3 linked regions of the Alligator mississippiensis genome follow. The protein of the gene in region 2 interacts with the protein of the main gene of each other region in a biochemical or structural test. Links are inferred from orthologs where the notes say so. Each region holds a gene or a part of one and is shown on either strand. Other genes may lie near its edges.

Region 1 (3,745 bases), on a different chromosome or scaffold from region 2:
AAAGAGATCAGGGCAGGTTGTTTCTAATTATTATTTGTTTGGTTTTTTTGTATGTTTAAGTGGCTGTTTCCTTCAGGTCACAAAGAATTTAAACGGCTTCCCAAGGACGGTCAAAAATATGGTGGCTGGTTTTTTGTGTCTTCCAAGGACCGAGTGGGGGGGATTTTCTCTGGTTTCTCTTGCCAAGCTCGACGCAGTTTCAGGACCAAACAAACCTGGAACAGGAAGAAAAAAAAAGAGGGGAGCGCATAGATTAGCATTTTTTGACAGAAATGGATCAAAAAAGGTCATTAAAAAAACAAAACCATAGCACAAACCACATCATCTAACTCATTAAGTTTGAAAGGTTTCCTTCCCGAGGCCAAAAAAAAGGGTTGTTAAAGGGACAATTTGGAAGAGGAAATATATATATATAAATAAAGGGCGGGGGGGTCAGGGAGAGGGGGAGAAAAGGAGCAGGTTTTTTCTGTGCCTTGGGACTTTCCTGACCAACCCTGACCCTCCTTTACTCGAAAGACCCCAGCTCCCTCCGCCAGACCCGAGGGGCTCGTCCTCCACGGGCCTCTGTAACGCCCGAGCTCGCCCCAGGTGGAGGTTGCAGCCCCCCCGCCCAGCGCCCACAAGCCGCGTCGCAGCACGGCTCTGTACTCACCTCTAACCAGACCCCAGAATGGCCGAAAGGCGCGCGGGCGGCGCCTTTTATAAGGAGCCCCGCCCCTCCCGCCCCGCCCCCCCGGCTCGCGCGGCGGCGCGAGAACAAAGCCCACTTCCCGCTTCCCCACCCGCCCCGACTGGACTGATCCTCTGAAACAACGCCCAAACCGAAATCGGAGGCCGCAGCGGAAAGCCTCTCGGCACTGGAAAGCGGCTGCCGCCTTCCAAAACCGTTTTTAAAATCGGGAAAAGTTGTGACGCAGTTTCGCCGGGGCCCGGTGCGCATGCGCGCGGGCGGGCGCCATTTTCGTGGCGTGGGGCGTGGGCTAGGAGGCGCGGGTAGGTGACCGCTCCCCAGCGCTTCCTCAGCCTCGTTGCGCAAGCGCAGCAGTGGGCTGCTCCGGGCGGGGCCAGTGCGCATGCGCGACCACCGCCCGCTATTGTCTTGTGTTTGTGGCGCAGTTTTTATTCCTTCTTGAGCACTGCGCATGCTCGAGGGTGGGGAGGCGCCTCTGGGGGGGGTTATCTCCAGTTCTCTACGAAATGCATGATGCGTTTCACAAGTTAATAATTCTTCCTATCCGTACTTTATCACTAGGGACTAAGAAAATAATATAGTAAAATTGGAGTAATGACCTTTGACCTCAGCGATCACGTGCGACAAGATGGCGGCTACCGGGACAGCTGAGGCTAGAGCTCAGCGCGCATGCGTAGTTGTGCCTCTCTTAACATGGCGCTGGCCATTAGGACCATGCTTTGGCGAAGGGCGATGAGTAGCCTGAGGCAGAGAGGGCGGCTCCTGTGGACCCAGGTGAGGAGCAGGGTTCAGGAGCCTGGCTGTGGCCTGACCGCTGCCAGCCGTGCTTCAGTGACACCTGCATAGTAATGTCATTGCACACCGCGTGGCAGGGCCATTGGGGGGGTGTCCCCTTCCTTGATGTCATCTCGCCTGGATACGTAAGAGGACATCATTGCCACTGCCATGGTTGACGTGCAGAGGCGCTGCCAGCTGCTCTGTAATGTCTTTGCCCTCAGGGGATGTGTCACCTTGTCCCTGCCACCAGGATGGGTTGCTGTGGTGCTGGGATACTGGTGCCTCGGGCGCAGCATGTCATCGTGATGTCAACACGTTACGATGGTGTCAGGCCGCGTTGGCTGACGTGACACGATGTGGGGACCAATGACAAGACAAGGAGCAATAGTCTCAAGATGAAGCAAGTGATGTTTAGGTTGGATATTAGGAAAAACTTTCTCACTAGGAGGGCAGTGAAGCCCTGGAACAGGTTACCCAGGGAGGTGGTGGAAGCTCCTTCCTTGGAGGTTTATAAGGTCCGGTTTGACAAAGTCCTGGCTGGGATGATCTAGTGGGGCTGGTCCTGCTTTGAGCAAGGGGTTGGACTGGATGTGACCTGAGGTTCCTTCCAGCCCTCATTTTCTGTGATCCTGTGTCTGTGTCATCCCCGTGGATGGGCAGGCTGACCACTTACATGGTGTAACGATATTCCTTGTTCTAAGCTGACATGCCTATATCATAAGTACGTTTTTGGCTGCTCCTGCAACCTATTTCTTCAGCATGTGACAACTTCATCACATCATTAACTTAGGTATTGGAAATCCTGTATGGCAGATTGCTGTATGATGTGATGTGATTGTGATAGGCCAAATTATGGCACCATGTATAATATTGTTGTATCACATTGGATTGCAGTGCTATGGTCCATCACACTGCCTTGCATTCTAACTTCAGTGTTTCAGAGTGTTTGGAGATGTTTTCATTGGCGAGCCATTTCAGAATGACAGTTAAGGATGCTGTGAGACTCGAGGCAAAAACAGCTATGGTGGAAACAATTTCTCGCGACTGTTGCCTTACACTGTCCAGTAGCTCCTTGCAGCGACACCTTAGGTGCTAGTGGTTACCCTTGGTGTGTTTTGTTTTGTTTTTAATTTTCCAGGGAAGTTAACAGCAAAACATTTTATGTGTTGTTGAACCTATTTGATTAACCACCCCCCCACCCCACCCCCTGCAAAATCTCCCAGAACTTTCTCAGCTCTGTAGGTCAGCTTTTTCCATTCAGGGTAAAACTCTCAGCTCTTGGCAAGCAGTTCCTATGTGATAGTTCTGTGCAGCTATCATCAGCTGTCTCACCAAAGAGGTAACTACATTTCTCTGTTACATATCAGCCTTTGGTTCAGAATAACCTGGTCACTTCCTTGCATGTCTAATTGTCTCTCAGGCTTTACCCAGTGCCTCACTCCACCTCCAGCTCCCGCAGCTCCGGGCCTACAGCACAGAAACTGACCCAGCCAAATCTGAAGAGCCAGTTGCTTTTGACACTGAATCCCGCTTTAAGGAGAAGCCTTGGGAGTATCTGGAGACAGAAGGTATGAGTTTAGGGCCTGTAAATAGGTCAATGCTAGGCCTATGAACTTGGCACCGTTGAAGCAGAAAGTTTGGAATTAGGGCTCTTGTGTTCTCTTGGAGGGAACTGATATCTAGGAGTTAGATAGCTGGGTTCTCTTCCCATCTCTGAGCACAGCTTGCTGTGTAATAACTAGCTAGTCTCTCTCTTAATATCCACATAGTGGAGCTAAAGCTATCGAGGCTATGTTTATTCATATACTTTAGAATCCTTAGGGTCAGCTCGCCTTAAGGAATTGTTAACTTTCCTCTCTTCTGCACAGAATACATTGAGAAATATGGTAACAATCCTGTCTGGTTTGGCTATCGACGTAACCACCGGGGCTCCATCGGACCTCAGAAGACACGCAAGAAGTGCATAGTGAGTGCAGCCCCTTCTCCCTGCCAAGGAAGTGTGCGCCTTGGATGATAGAGTAGGGTCGAAAGTAGTGCTTAGTTCCAACACCAGATGATTCTGCATTTGAAATTCAGCTGCTCAGTGTGAAGAGGAGAGGTGGGGAGAAGGGATGAGAAGTACCAACAGCAAAATCTTGGCAAATCGGAGAGGTGGCTTGTAGGGACATATAGAACTGAAGCAGACTGGGAATCAGAATTTCTGGGTGTAATTCTTAATGCTGGAATGGGAGAGTGGGGTCTAATGGGTTAGAGAACAGCCTGAGAATCAGGATTCCT
Region 2 (3,745 bases):
ATCCCCATTATGGTAACATTCACCCCTACCCTGTGCTTGCATGTACTGCCTGCTGTTGGTGAGTACGAAAATTGACTAGTAAAAGTGGTAGAAATGAGTTGGGGGATCAGTACAGTCAAGGTCTTGGAATGTATTCCTATTTGTTACATTGTAAAGTGGGTTCCCTTTATGCAAATGAAAATTTGAGTTATGAGTCGTTTTACAGGAGGACATACAAAAAACTAGAACTCCTTGTTCCAGAATGATGCCATTTTCCAGTTGGTCTAATAAAAGGTAAGAAAATTGTCCTTTTTTGCAAGCTTTTGGGATCAAAGTCCCTTCGTCAGGCTCTGGGAAAAGTGTAGATGGTACAAGATGGTAAAAACTCCCCATGAGTAGGAAATAAACTTCATTTTTGCACAGATGGAGCTGAAGATGGAAGGCTGACCCTCGGGGTCCATGAGAGTGCCTTGGTGAGCTGTGTTGAGTAGCATTTTGATGCCTTGAGCAGGTAGAATTCCTTCCCTGGAGAGGCCAGCTGGCAGGATGGGAGGTTTTCCAGGAGCGTATGTACAGCATAAGACGATGGGAACCTGTACAGTATATTCATTTCTGCTTTAATTCCAGACTGCCCAAACCAGCCCAGAGCCCCGAGCCTGCTACCAGGTTCATTTTTGCCTGGAGAAACACCCAGCGACGCGATGCCCAGCACCCGCCCTCCCTAATCCCTGCGCCCGCCCCTGGATGACACGAGCAGCCCCGCCCCTGCCGGCGAGGGAATGACTAAGCTAGAGCCCGTCACCGGGACAGCTCTCTATTGGCCAGCATTGGCGAGCGCTCGGCCGAGCTCATTGGCTGCGCCGCTCGTGCGAAGCATGACGTGATCAGCACCCGCTGCTTCCGGAATCTTGGCCACTTCCCCTCAGCCCCGCCCATTTGTAGACTCCCCGGGCTCCGCGAGCCGGAAGTGACTATGAGTGTGGGTGGGGCTGGCTGACGTGCTTTCCCGCGGTTTCCCGGCTCGGCCGCGCAGTGTCCTCCGCGGCTCTTTAAACGGCGGCACCGGCGGCGCCGCTCGACATGGCGCCCAGGCCCCCGCGCAGGGGTGCTGCCGCCGCCGTTAGGGGGCAACGCGCCAGCCCGGATCGCGGCGCGGCCCCCGCCGAGCCCCCGCCCGCCGCCCCCAGGTGAGCCCCGCCCGCCCAGCGCGGCCGGGGGAGGGGACAGCATCCCCTCTGCTGCGGCGGGTCTGCCCCGGGGCGGCACGGGGAGAAGCGGAGCGGGGGGGCCGCCCGCCGCGGTGTCTCTGGGCCGCTGCTTGGAGGGCGGAGGAAACTCTGCAGGGTGCGAGAGTGCGGGGTCTCCCCAGGCCGCCCCAGGTCTTGGGGGAGACTTGTAGCTTTGTAGAGATTTGTAAAATAATCCCCCCCACCCCTCCCGCGCCACGGGACTTGAATAGGAATCTGTATGTTAAGCCAGGGAGACATGGGGCTGGAAGGGAGCTCCAGCTCCCTGCCCCGAGGTGGCCTTGTCCCTGTCCGGGCTCTCCTTAGTGCTGCCCTCCACCGTGATGGCATACAGACCAAACACTCTCTCATGCCATGGGGTAAGCCCTGCAGCCAATGTCCTGCTGCTGTGGGGATGCGCTCGGGGTACCCACGACCCTGCCACTCTGGAAGCCAGAAACCCGCACAGTCCATGTCAGTCTGATCATGGGCTAAAACGCCTTCCTATGCCCAAATCTGGCAGTTGGTGTGACCCTGAGCCCTTGGAGGGGCAAGACCCTCTAGCCAGGAACCTCTGACTTGATTCCTAGCAGGAGCCTTGGCACATCCCAGTGAAAGTCCCCAGCCCTGGCTGCAGCCAACACTCAATGCCTCTGTGGCAGGTTTAAAAACACCAACACAGTGGTAGTGGGAGCAACTAGCAAAGCCCAGAAATATGGGAAGTACCATTCAGCCCCGGGGTGGTGGGGAACGACGGACACAGGACTTGTTGAGCTTTTTGCAACAGAATAATTGCTCTAATATTTTTCTGCACCCAAAAAGCCCCCAAGTGAAACTGGAGAGCTGGCATTTCCTGAGGTGGGGTGTGTGGCTAAAAAAACTCTCCTTGAGAACCACTGATCTAGCCTGGCCTAGCTTGGGAATGCATGACCTTGCGTAGGCAAAAACCTGCTCTTTTCTGCAAGTCCATTCATAGCATCTGACAAAAGATTTCTTTTTTCCCCTTGTCCCTTTTCCTTCTATATAAAATAATTTATTTCTGGCAGCCCATTTACTGCCTCAAACAAAGTGGGTTGTTGCTTGTGGCCCCTACTACACATTACATATATTAAACAGTTAACTGGTGAATCTTATAATGCATGTAGGCTGGCCATACATGCAACATAATTCTCATACAGTTAACTGGTTAAGCATACAGTAAATTAAGACCAGCCACATGTGCAAAGGAATTATCACTGTAAAAAAGGACTGTTGAGCTATAAACGAGCCAATCAGCTATAAAGTTAGTACTTGAAAATGTGTAACAATTGTATAGCTGGTTTCTGTCCAGCTTTAATTTGAAGGGGCAGCAGGACCCTATGAAAGCTCATGTCTCACTGAATTAGTCTCTAAGGTGTCACCTTGGCCTAGCTTCTGCCTGACTTAACGTGGCAGATCACCTCTTGAGTCTGCCCTATGTCATGTGAGCTGTAGGATTTTCCTGAATTCTTGTTTGAGCAAAATATTTCTGAAACGCTAGTTTTCATTTTAAAATGGCTAGTAATAAAAAATCTACCATGTTCTTTGGTAAGTTATTCAGTGGTTAATTAACCTCAGTGTAAAAAAATTGGGCCTTATTTCTAATCTAGATCTGTACCATCCAACTCCCCTTAACTGGAACTTGTTTTACATTTTCTTTGCTAGACTGATTGCCAAAGATACATGTAGCTCATGATCAATTCACACCTTAACCCTGTTTCTGAGTTGATTGATTTTATTTTTTTTGCTGCAGAGAGAATTTTCCTTGTTCAGGCTTTTTTCTAAATCCTTTCCATCTTGCATCCTTCAGTCCAGAATCTCTGATGTTAAATGATTGACAGGTTTGAGCCTTGCAGACAGTTTTGCAGAATAAACAGGTTATTCACATTTCTGCATGTGTGTGGCAATGTTCCTAACTTTTTGTTTTGTTTTGGTAAGATGTTCTGTGAAATTAGCTGTAGATGTGACAAACTATTGTCTCGATCCGCACATCTAATTTTTAATACTTAGTAAGCTTGTCAGAGAAGTAATCCCTTATCTGGTGGCACATACTGGCCTAATACTATTTTTTTCTCTTCTCTTGCTAGGGTTGAGTTTGGAGAAGCAGATTTTGTTGCACTTTGTGACATTTTAAAAGTTTCGGATGTCATAAGAACAAGTGCGTGGAAGACATATGAAAAAGTGTCATCTGTGGTTGGATCTCTAGTGAGTACTCGGTATAGCTAATGCTCATGATAATATTGTAGTAGTGGTACCTATTCTTTGATTCCAAGTATTATATTAATGTCTTTGCTTGACTTGACATATTTTTACAGCCATTCTGGGAAGCAAATGATTCAGAATTAAGTCTGAGAACTCAAATGTTGCCACATCACTTTTCTAATGAAAATTTTTACCCAAGTCAAAATGTACAAATGCTGTTGTATTCATGACTGTATATAGTAAAATGCATAGTCCCCCTTTATTTCTATATAGAAAAACTGCTTCTATATATATAAAAAAAATAGTGCTGGTTTTAAATG
Region 3 (3,745 bases), on a different chromosome or scaffold from region 2:
GAATGGTACCATCTGCCCTCCTCCGTGTGATTATGGTACATTCCAACAGCCCCGCAGCTCTCGGTGGTACACCCGACACCTCCTAAGGATGGTATGTCTCAACTCTCCCTGTGTTGTATGTGAAAATGGTTCCTCCCAGTCCTCCTCAAAAGAATGGTACGTCCCATTTGCCCCCTCTACTCTTGGCACACTTGGTACATCCCACTCCCTCCCTAGGGTACAGCCCTTCAGTCCCCCTTTCCCCTGGACGCACATGGTACATTCCAAGCCCCGCCCCGAGGAGTCGAGAGCCGCCCAACTGTCAGCCCGTAGGCAGGGAGGCATTTGGTACGCGCCGTTTCCCCCTGGCGTGTGAGGTTGGTACGTCCCAACGGCAGTCCGACCAGGTATGTTCCAAAGCTCCTTATAGACCTTTTGGGGACGTGGTACAGCCCACCCCGTCCCTAGGAAGAGGATGGTACATCCCAACTGCTTTTCCCCTGGGCACCCCCGTTCTCCCGCCCTCAGTGGTACGTTCCACCTCGCTCGGCCACCCCAACCCCGACCGCACCATCATCCTTCACCCCCCTCCCACTTGGGTCCTCGTAGTACCTCCTTCTCCCTATGAGATTGGTTCCGCCCATCTGCCCCCCACCCCGCGCGTGGAACAGTCCTGGAGCCGCTCTCCCCCCACCCTCATGGAACAGCTCCCCCCCCTCAAGGCAGTGGTAGTGCGCTCTCCACCCCCCACGCGTGGAATAGCCCCCCCCGTAATGGTATCGCCTGCCTCCTCCGCACGCGTGGAACAGCCCACCCCCCCACCCAGTAGTGGTATCACCCCCGCGCGTGGAACAGTCTCCCCCGGCAGTGGTAGCGCCCGCCCCCCCCGCGCGCCGGATGGTCGGCGCCGCCCCTCCCCCCGGCGCTGGTTTCCGCGCGAAATCGCCGCCCGCGCCCGGCCTCGGCTCCCGCGCCCCCGCCCCGAGCCCGATGCCGGCCCGGGCCGCCCCGCCGCCGCCCGCGCCCGCGCTCGCGCTGCCCGCCGCGCTCCGCCGCCGGTGAGTGCCGGGCCCCGAATCGGGACCCCCGCGCTCAGGACCCGGGCCCGGCCTCTGCGCCCAGGATCGGGTCCCCCGGGGTCTGGTCCCCCGCCCTGACTCCTGCATCGTGCCCCCGGGGCCGGGACGCACCCCCAGGATCAGGCCCTTCGCTTCAGCAGGGTCACCCCTGCCTCGGGGTCACCCCCGCCAGGCGCCTGGCCCCACGTGCTGCCCCGGGGCTGTGTCGGGGTGTGCTTTGTCGGCCTGGCTGGCCGCGGGGTGCAGCCCTGGCACAGGGGCACGTCCTGGAGCTGTGGGAGGGGGTAGCCTGGTCCCAACTGCTTTGAGCTGTGCCCCCTGCCCCCCCAGCCGTTTGGGACAGGAAGTGGTGCCGTGTCCCATCACCTGGTGGCAGGGCTGGGGGGGGGGAGCTGCAGCTGCGCTGGACACTCTCGCCATCCTGGCATGGGCGGGGGGGCAGACATGGCGCCACGGCCACCCCCACCCAGCAGGACCCTGCTCACAGGCACTCCCGCCAACCGTGCCTGTGATCATCCCCCCAGCAGCTGCCTTTGTCTTGGTGCTGGGGCAGCCCGCGGGGCCCCTCAGCTTGGCAGCCGGGCCACCTTGAGCCCCTCATTTCCCCAGGCTGCAGTGGGGGGAGGGGCAGGGGGCTGAGGACAGTCCCAGATGTCCTGTCCTCCCTCACCGCGCACGAGGAGCTGGCCTCAGAGTTCGGCTGCACTTGGTTTGGAGTTAGCTTGGCGCTGTCTCCCAGCCCAGAGGCCTGAATCGCACAGCCGGGGCCATGCCAGGGACAGACTGGGGCCCTCTGCATCCAGCCACAGGGCAGGGTGAGCGCCAGCCCGGGTGGGCCGTCCAACTGGCAAGGCTGGTGGTGGCAGCAGCGGCACCGGGAGCTGCACGTGGCGCGTGCTTCCTGTAAGGCTGCTTTGCCTCACTGCCATTGTCCAGCCGGCACCGCTGAACGGGAGCAGCAGGGGCATCTCTGCTGCCTCCCCATGCTCGACCACGGAGCAGCCCCCAGGCAGCCTTGGCAAGTCAGACCAGGGCTGCCTGGGCCCCATCACACCTCTTCCGGCCAGGCAGTCCTGCAACCCTGGCACTGAGCACAGCCCCCATCCTCCTCGGGTTCCCTGCATGGCTCCTCTCCTGGTGAAGAGGGTGGGACATAGGACCTGCTGTCTCCCCCTGCCCCCCCCACCCACTGGGGCCAGGCGTCTGTGGTGGGCTGTGCTGCTTGGCCCATCTGCAGAGCTGCTGGCAGGGCAGGGGCAGGGGCAGGGGCCGGGAGCAGGCGCGGTGGGGAGTGCGCGGGAACGGGGAGCCCACGTGGCCTCAGTGGCTGCCGGCACACACCCGCTCCCTGTGGGCCGTCTGCCAACTGGGCCCCTGGGCAGTCAGGCAAGGGCCCAGGGCGTCACCGCTGTGCAGAGGAGGTGGTATCGTGTGAGCCTTCCAAGGAGGGAACACGGGAGCTCATCCGAGGGCAGCAGGGAGCGCCATGGCGCCTGAGTGAGGAGAGATTGGGGCGCCAGCATCCCCGCTGCTGGGCCCGCCTGTGAGAGCAGTCAAGGCTCCTCCCCTTTGGCCTGTCCCTGCCGGGCTCTGCGGGGCAGACCTTGTTCCCCACATGCCCTGGATGGACTGCATCACAGCACAGCGAGTGGCGCTGGCCCCTCGCGTCCTGTCCTCTGCCAGACAGAGGTGCTCCATGGTGCTCTCCCCATATGGAGGCAAAGCCTGGGCAGGCCAGGGCCTGGGCCTCTTCCTGCCTTCCCTCGCAGGAGCCTTGTGAGTTTGTGTCCCCCTGCAGCCACTGCCTAGTCTCCTTGTTTGTCCCTGCCAGGCACAGCCACAGCCTGTGACCTCATTGTGTGTGCCCTTAGTACCCATCCCTAGCACATAAGGGAGTTCCACCCAGGCCCAGGCACTGGCACTGTCCTGTACTCATCCTGGTGCTCCTTGTCTGGCCTTTGCTGCGGCTGCAGTGGGATCTCAGTCTCTCTGATGGCAGCCCCAGACTTGCAGGCCCTTGGCCCTGACCATGGGGGTTTGTGGAGCTGCAGTAGGGTAGGAAGTGTGTGTTGTAGCCGGGAGCTGTCCTAGAGGGACCAAAAAGTCCCATGGTGTTGCACTAGCTTGTGTTGGCCTCTTCTGGCCAGGGCAACCCCCTCAGGAGGGAGATGGGCTAAAGTTCGTTTTTTAAGTGAGCAAATGCTGTGGAAGCCCGAGCCCTCAGGCCATGTTGCAAGTTTTCCTTTCGTGTCCAAGAGTGGGACCTGGGGTTTCCACAAAGAAGCCCAGTCTCCATGCTTGTCACCCTGGCTTGTTTACAGAGCATCACTTCCTGCATCTCCCAAGTGATCAGGACCCGTCATGCAGTTGGAAGCAGCCTCAGTCCTGTTTTCTATCAGTCTCCAGTGGGACTTAGGAGCTCCCCATGTGGCATCAGTCCAGTCTGGGCTGCCAGCACTGGCAGGGCACAGGCCTCTGTGGGAGGTGTTCCCTATCCCTTTTCCTGCTAGTGTGCCTGGGAAATCTGCCCTGGTACTTCCAGCTGGTTTGCAGAGAAGCATGAGATTGTTACCTGGGGGAGTGAAACACCTGGGGTTGTGACAGCAGCTTATCTGTCTTGCAGGCTTCAGGACCTAGAGAAGGATGAAGATGGCTTAAGTGAGAAGGTAGGGCTCTGCTGTCATCCC

Evidence for each region.
Region 1: the proteins of RB1 (region 2) and MRPS18B form a complex in vitro, tested with the Homo sapiens proteins (2 studies listed by BioGRID and IntAct). The link is inferred for Alligator mississippiensis from reciprocal best matches to the Homo sapiens genes RB1 and MRPS18B.
Region 3: the proteins of RB1 (region 2) and DNMT1 form a complex in vitro, tested with the Homo sapiens proteins (2 studies listed by BioGRID). The link is inferred for Alligator mississippiensis from reciprocal best matches to the Homo sapiens genes RB1 and DNMT1.

Annotation. Positions count from the first base shown.
Region 1 is NC_081834.1:53,550,285-53,554,029, reverse strand, and holds the start of MRPS18B (small ribosomal subunit protein mS40), read left to right. Parts: upstream 1-1,356; 5' UTR 1,357-1,360; coding exon 1,361-1,465; intron 1,466-2,888; coding exon 2,889-3,036; intron 3,037-3,336; coding exon 3,337-3,434; intron 3,435-3,745.
Region 2 is NC_081824.1:413,414,620-413,418,364, forward strand, and holds the start of RB1 (retinoblastoma-associated protein), read left to right. Parts: upstream 1-996; 5' UTR 997-1,059; coding exon 1,060-1,166; intron 1,167-3,310; coding exon 3,311-3,428; intron 3,429-3,745. UniProt on the Homo sapiens protein: Tumor suppressor that is a key regulator of the G1/S transition of the cell cycle. The hypophosphorylated form binds transcription regulators of the E2F family, preventing transcription of E2F-responsive genes.
Region 3 is NC_081831.1:22,158,769-22,162,513, reverse strand, and holds the start of DNMT1 (DNA (cytosine-5)-methyltransferase 1), read left to right. Parts: upstream 1-925; 5' UTR 926-969; coding exon 970-1,037; intron 1,038-3,681; coding exon 3,682-3,724; intron 3,725-3,745. UniProt on the Homo sapiens protein: Methylates CpG residues. Preferentially methylates hemimethylated DNA. Associates with DNA replication sites in S phase maintaining the methylation pattern in the newly synthesized strand, that is essential for epigenetic inheritance.